Linked DNA regions of Macaca fascicularis. The protein of the gene in region 1 interacts with the protein of each later gene in a biochemical or structural test. Links are inferred from orthologs where the notes say so. Each region holds a gene or a part of one and is shown in the gene's direction. Other genes may lie near its edges.

The links.
Region 2: the proteins of USP5 (region 1) and CACNA1H form a complex in vitro, tested with the Homo sapiens proteins (2 studies listed by BioGRID, with this or other methods). The link is inferred for Macaca fascicularis from reciprocal best matches to the Homo sapiens genes USP5 and CACNA1H.

The regions. Positions count from the first base shown.
Region 1 is NC_088385.1:7,789,733-7,793,538, forward strand, and holds part of USP5 (ubiquitin carboxyl-terminal hydrolase 5), read left to right. Parts: coding exon 1-175; intron 176-1,002; coding exon 1,003-1,074; intron 1,075-1,680; coding exon 1,681-1,768; intron 1,769-1,895; coding exon 1,896-2,021; intron 2,022-2,481; coding exon 2,482-2,635; intron 2,636-2,972; coding exon 2,973-3,147; intron 3,148-3,806. UniProt on the Homo sapiens protein: Deubiquitinating enzyme that participates in a wide range of cellular processes by specifically cleaving isopeptide bonds between ubiquitin and substrate proteins or ubiquitin itself.
Region 2 is NC_088394.1:1,949,490-1,952,856, forward strand, and holds the end of CACNA1H (voltage-dependent T-type calcium channel subunit alpha-1H), read left to right. Parts: coding exon 1-91; intron 92-910; coding exon 911-1,924; 3' UTR 1,925-2,700; downstream 2,701-3,367. Other genes in the region: TPSG1 (tryptase gamma), read right to left, coding at 2,724-3,322.

The DNA.
Region 1 (3,806 bases):
AGTTGGAGATAGACATGAACCAGCGGATTGGTGAATGGGAGCTGATCCAGGAGTCGGGTGTGCCACTCAAGCCCCTGTTTGGGCCTGGCTACACAGGCATCCAGAACCTGGGTAACAGCTGCTACCTCAACTCCGTGGTCCAGGTGCTCTTCAGCATCCCTGACTTCCAGAGGAAGTGAGTAGTGCTCTCCTTCCCCAGGCCCCCTCCTGGTCAGCACCCTCTGGGCATACTCCCTTCAGCTGCCCTTGGCACCTCTGTGTTTGATTCTAATCTTAGAGTAGTTCCTATCAGCTAGGTGTGTTGGCCCATACCTGTAATCCCAGTACTTTGGGAGGCCAAGATGGGAGAATCGCTTGAACCCAGGAGGTTGAGACCAGCCTGGGCAACATAGCGAGACCCTGTCTTCTCTTTAAAAAAAAAAAAACAGAATAATTCCTGTCACACTCTGGCTGACATGCTGTAAGGGGAGCAAGTTAGGGAGCTGCACCACCAGCACCCCAACACACAAACCCCGCTGATAGTGCAGAGTGCCAGGTCCCCGGGCTCTGTGGCCTTCTGACAGACTCAAGGGTTAGCAGATGGTCTTTATTTTAGGCCAGTGACCTCAGATGAGCACCTAACATGGACATGTAGCACTTGGGGAGGAAGGGGGCTTGGTACACTAAGAAGAAAGGCAGGTTCTCAGCAGAAATGAGTTTACCTTTGAATTTGGGGAACAATTAGAATGTGAATGCTCAGAATATGTCAACAGGTTCTGTCTAATGGAACATGAACTGCCCTTGTCCTCATCCCAGGCTGCCTCCCTCCCTGGCTCCTGTGCCGCCCAGCGTGCTTACACACTGGACATAGTTGAGAAGGGGAGAACAGGCAGGTTGCTGGAGAGAAGCGACTCCCCACTCTTGACGGGAGCCCATTCACAGAATTAGTAAATGTTTGCTCCCTTCCCTTTTCCTCAGAGCTCAGGCCAGAGCCCCTCCAACCGTCCTTTCCTTGACTTTTAGGTATGTGGATAAGCTGGAGAAGATCTTCCAGAATGCCCCGACAGACCCTACCCAGGACTTCAGCACCCAGGTGTATGTAACCAGGTCCTATGTAGGAAGGCTGTTGAGAGTCATGGCCGTATACCTTCCTCCTCCATGACCGCCTGGGGGGCACAGCACTTTAACCCCTGGCCTTTGTTTTTTTTTTTTTTTTTTTTTTTGAGACGGAGTCTTGCTTTGTTGCCAGTCTGGAGTGCAGTGGTGCGATCTCGGCTCACTACAACCTCTGCCTCCTGGGTTCAAGTGATTCTCCTGCCTCAGCCTCCCAAGTAGCTGGGACTACAGGCGCCCGCCACCACGCCCAGCTAATTTTTAAAATATTTTTAATAGAGACGGGGTTTCATCATGTTGGCCAGGATGGTCTCGATCTCCTGACCTCGTGGTCTGCCCACCTCAGCCTCCCAAATTGCTGGGATTACAGGCGTGAGCCATCATGCATGGCCACCCCTGGCCTATTAGGAGTATTCGGGTGACTGTCCTCTGGGCATGTTGTCTGTCTTGAGCTGGGTTCCTGTGGAATCTAAGGTTTTTCACATTGTCAAGAGTTAGCTAGGGAGAGCCACGAGCAGGGGGTTGAGTTGGGGACATACAGGGTCGTTAGTTGACTGAAGTGAAATGTTTTCTTGGATATTAACGCAGGGCCAAGCTGGGCCATGGCCTTCTCTCCGGGGAGTATTCCAAGCCAGTACCAGAGTCGGGCGATGGGGAGCGGGTGCCAGAACAGAAGGTGCGTCTAGGACTCTGTCCCTTTCAGGCCCTGGGATTGTGGGGAAGCTGAGGTCTGGGAGATGTCTAAAGAAGGCCCCGGGATGACCACTGAGCCCCAGCTGAGTCCCTGCCCTGACTCTTCCCAGGAAGTTCAAGATGGCATTGCCCCTCGGATGTTCAAGGCCCTCATCGGCAAGGGCCACCCTGAATTCTCCACCAACCGGCAGCAGGATGCCCAGGAGTTCTTCCTTCACCTTATCAACATGGTGGAGGTAAGGGCTGGGAAGATGGCACACCCTCATTTTCCTGCAGTTTACTCGCTCTCCTTCCTGCCCATTTCTCCCTCTGTCAGCCCCAACCCAGTCCCATCCCTGAATCCCTACGGTCTATGTCCCTGTGAGCAGTATTTGCACCTAAGGAGGATAGTGAAGGTGATGATCCTTACCCTTGATGGGCTGGAAGCTCAATTCAGATTGCGCCCAAAGACAATGACATGAGAATACTTACTGCTCATAAAGAAAAATACAGGCGTGTTCCAGCACAGTCCCTCAGTGCAGGGATGGGGCCAGAAATGGGAGGGGTTGGTGAATTAGGGAAGGTTTCTGCTCTGCTCTTATGTCCCTGAGTTCTGAGTGGTAGTCTGTCTTCTCTCCCTGACTCTCCCATGAACCTTTCAGGCCCCATTCTGTTCCCTGGCTGCCCAGACCTCCCTACCCTGCCTCTTTCCCATAGAGGAATTGCCGGAGCTCTGAAAATCCGAATGAAGTGTTCCGCTTCTTGGTGGAGGAGAAGATTAAGTGCCTGGCCACAGAGAAGGTGAAGTACACCCAGCGAGTTGACTACATCATGCAGCTGCCTGTGCCCATGGATGCAGCCCTTAACAAAGGTAGGTTGCTCCATCAGCAAGGCCTTGGCACGGGGGGAGGCTAAGGTCTAGGAGGAATGCTTGGGCACCTGATGGGAGCAGAGTCCATGGAATGCCCTGCTCCACCACCAAGGTTCCAGTCTCGGCCACCAGGAGTAGGTAGGGTTAACCTCGCCCAGTGGACTCTCAGCTTGTTAGCAGAGCTGCGTGGAAACAGAGGCGAGACATACTGGACGTGTGTCGGGGTGCCTTGGAAGGGTAGAGGAGCTGAAATAGGGACACAGAGCCAGTAGGGAGAGGCTAAGAAGGGAAAGAAGCAGCACACTCTGAAGGATCCACCAACCCATTCTGTCACCAGAGGAGCTTCTGGAGTACGAGGAGAAGAAGCGGCAAGCCGAAGAGGAGAAGATGCCACTGCCAGAACTGGTTCGGGCCCAGGTGCCCTTCAGCTCTTGCCTGGAGGCCTACGGGGCCCCTGAGCAGGTGGATGACTTCTGGAGCACGGCCCTGCAGGCCAAGTCAGTAGCTGTCAAGTAAGTCCTCTGGTTGGGGCCTGAGGCTGTGGGTCTATGGCACAGCCATCCCAGAGGATATTTCTGCCTCTTCCCTGTTCTTTCATCCCTTTGTGGTTGGAATCCCAGGGTTGAATCAGTTGGGCTGGTAATCTGGCCCTGATGGAACCAAGGGGCCCTGGTAGGGGGAGACACAGGTGCTGACTGCATCTGTCACCTTGTCCTGCCCCAACCACTCCCTCTTCTCCTCCGGCACAGGGTCTCTTTGTAGCGTAGCCTGTCTTCACTCCCCCTCAGTCATGGCGGAGCACAGGCACTTAGGGTCATCTGTGGGCAGAATTTGGATTGCCAGCAAATAGCCCCACTTTGTGCCTACCCATTGGCACCTGGTACGGGCGTGAGACCTGAGAAAGGGCTTTGGTCTTGGGGAGTCAGCTACCCAACCTTTTGCTGCTCCTGCCAGTGAAACAGCTCTTCCTCTGTGTGTGGCTTTTTTTTTTTCTTTAAATAGAGACGGGGTCTCACTATGTTGCCCAGGTTGGTCTCTAACTCCTGGGCTCAAGCAGTCATCCTGCCTTGGCCTCCCAAAGTGCTGGAATTGCAGGTATGAGCCACCACACCTAGGCATTTTTTTTTTTTTTTTTTTTTTGCTCACAGCCTTCCTTCTGGCTTCTACTGCT
Region 2 (3,367 bases), on another chromosome or scaffold:
GTCTCCAGCCAGGAGCAGCGAGACCCTCCACGCCCTGTCCCCTCGGGGCACAGCCCGCTCCCCCAGCCTCAGCCGGCTGCTCTGCAGACAGGTAGGAGAAGCTGTTGCCTGCAGTGGAGGCTGGCGGGGGTGGGGGGCTTACAGGGATGCCCTCTCTCATCTGAAGGACCAGCAGATGAGGACAAGGCCCAGGGAGGGTGGCACTGGGTCCTTGGGGCTCTAAAGTTTTCTGCCTGCTGCTTGGTGGATCTCGGAGCATTGGGCCCAGGTGGGTCTTCAGGCCTGTGAGCCTGTCTGTGGCTACAGAGCTCCTGGCTACGGGGACCCGAATCTTCTTGGAACCACAGCCTCAGGCCCCAGGGTGGGCAAACAGCAGTTTCTCAGGCCCACCCCATGACAGGCAGACGGCAATTTTCCAGGCCCCATGTGGGCGTGTGTCCCATGGTGGGCAGACAGCGGCTTCTCCGGTCCTGGCTTGTGCTCAGATGTCCCAGCCTCACCCACTTGCAGCCTCAGCTCCTCTTCCTGCCTCTCCCTGCCTCTTGCTGCCCAGTGCAAGACCCCCGTTCTGCATGGGAGCAGTTAGGAGAGCCCCATCCTGGGGGTGCCCAGCTGGGCTGCTGGTGTCCCGGAGTGGGGAGGTAGCCTCAGCTCTGTGCCCCTGGGGGCCGTGGCATCTGTGCCTGCAGAGTAGCGGGTACAGGCTTTCCCCAGGAGCCTCACAGGTCAGGAGTGAGACTGGGATGTCCACACCAGTGGCTTCCAGCCCCATCTCGAGGGTCAGGAGCCACCCAGGGGACCTGCCCACGTTGGCCTCTCTAGGACCTGGATGGTGAGGGGTCCCCGGGCCCCGGCCACCGATAGGGCTCTCCCAGGTTCGTGCTCCTCCCTTTGCCTCCACATCCTACAGGAGGCTGTGCGCGCTGATTCCTTGGAAGGGCAGATTGACGGCCCTAGGGACACCCTGGACCCTGCGGAGACTGGCGAGAAAACCCTGGTGAGGCCGGTGTCCCAGGGGGGCTCCCTGCAGTCTCCCCCACGCTCCCCACGGCCCGCCAGCACCCGCACCCGGAAGCACACCTTCGGACAGCGCTGCGTCTCCAGCCGGACGGCAGCCCCGGGCGGAGAGGAGGCCGAGGCCTCGGATCCAGCCGACGAGGAGGTCAGCCACATCACCAGCTCCGCCCGCCCCTGGCAGCCCGCGGCCGAGCCCCAGGGCCCCGAAGCCTCTCCCGTGGCCGGCGGCGAGCGGGACCTGCGCAGGCTCTACAGCGTGGACGCTCAGGGCTTCCTGGACAAGCCGGGCCGCGCGGACGAGCAGTGGCGGCCCTCGGCGGAGCTGGGCAGCGGGGAGCCTGGGGAGGCCAAGGCCTGGGGCCCCGAGGCCGAGCCCGCTCTGGGTGCGCGCAGAAAGAAGAAGATGAGCCCCCCCTGTATCTCGGTGGAGCCCCCGGCGGAGGATGAGGGCTCCGCGCGGCCCCCTGCAGCGGAGGGCGGCAGCACCACCCTGAGGCGCAGAACCCCGTCCTGTGAGGCCACCCCTCACAGGGACTCCCTGGAGCCCACGGAGGGCTCAGGCACCGGAGGGGACCCTGCAGCCAAGGGGGAGCGCTGGGGCCAGGCCTCCTGCCGGGCCGAGCACCTGACCGTCCCCAGCTTTGCCTTCGAGCCGCTGGACCTCGGGGGCCCCAGTGGAGATCCTTTTTTGGACGGTAGCCACAGCGTGACCCCAGAACCCAGAGCTTTCTCTTCAGGGGCCATAGTGCTCCTGGAACCCCCAGAAACAGACCCTCCCATGCCCGTCAGTGACCCCCCAGAGAAGAGGCGGGGGCCGTACCTCACAGTCCCCCAGTGTCCTCTGGAGAAACCAGGGTCCCCCTCAGCCACGCCTGCCCCAGGGGATGGTACAGATGACCCCGTGTAGCTCGGGGCTTGGTGCCGCACAGCGCTTTGGCACTGGGGTCTGGGGGCCCCGCTGGGGTGGTGGCCCAGGCGGAGCCGTGCGTGGACCCTGACTTGGGTCCCGTCGTGAGCAGAGAGGCCCGGGGAGGATGACAGCCCAGGCCCTGGTTCTCTGCCCAGTGAAGCAGGAGTGGCTGCTGGGCCCCGCGAGCCCCCATCCGTTCTGGTTCGGGCTTCTTGGAGTTTTGCTGCCAGCCGAGGCTGTGTGGGCAGCTGGGTCAACGTCCCGTCGTGAGAGAAGCTGTGTTTGTGGGACGAAGACCAGGCACCCGCCAGAGAGGGGAAGGTACCAGGCTGCGTCCTCTCAGGCTGCGCATTGTTACAGGACACTCACTGGGGGCCTGGGCCCTTGCCGGCAGCAGGTGCGGCCACCGCGGCCCAAGGCCACCTTCACTCACAGTCTGAGTTCTTGTCCGCCTGTCACGCCCTCACCACCCTCCCCTTCCAGCCACCACCCTTTCCGTTCCGCTCGGGCCTTCCCACAAGCGTCCTGTGACTCTGGGAGATGGTGACGTCACATCACTAAGGAGCCGACTCCGTGGAGTAACGCGCCCGGCACCGACGCATATCGGGCCTCCCCTCCCTCTGGGGGCTTTGGCCGCGAGATTCCCGTTGACACCTTTGTTTTGTGTGCTTTTAAATTCAGGTTAAATGTTGCAATAATCTGATGCGGAAGACTCAGCTTCTCAAGGGAGAGGGAGGGGGCGGAGCGGAATAAATAGTAACTTATTTAAGAAATGCGCTTGGGTTCCTGCCATCGGTCAGGCGGGGAAGGGAGCGCCGTCCCCAGGCGGGCGCAGCAGGCACTTGGCCAGCAAGACACAGGAGACTACCAGAAGGAAGAGTCCGGGGAGGAAGAAACCAGCCAGGAGGGGGAGCCTGGGGTACCCAGACCCTGGGCCCCCTGACGCTGTGGTGTGGCGGCGGATCCAGCTCACATAGGCGGGGACACGGGTGTAGACCCCTGGCCTGTTGGGGCGGCCGCAGCCCTCACCCCAGCTCACAATGCCAGCCTGCACCCAGGCACCGTTCACCTGGCAGACCAGGGGCCCCCCGGAGTCATCCTGAGGACAGAGAAGGCGAGCATGGGGAGCCGAGAAGGTGGGGAGCCCCTCCCTGGGCTGCACCCACCCCCGTCCTCTGTCACGGCCTGGCAGGCTCACCTGGCAGGCATCCCCGGGGCCCTGGGCGCACAACATGTCGGGCCGAAGAATGCTGCCCCCAGGGCCAGGGTAGTCCCGGCGGCAGGTCTCTGTGTCCACCACCGAGACTTCTACCTCCTGAAGGCTGTAGGGGGGTGGCAGAGGCTCTGGGGTGGGGGAGACAGGCTTCAGGGAAGGTTGGAGCATCAGGCCCTGCCCTGGGGGGATGGGAGACCTTGCCAGACACAAGTCCAATGCCACTG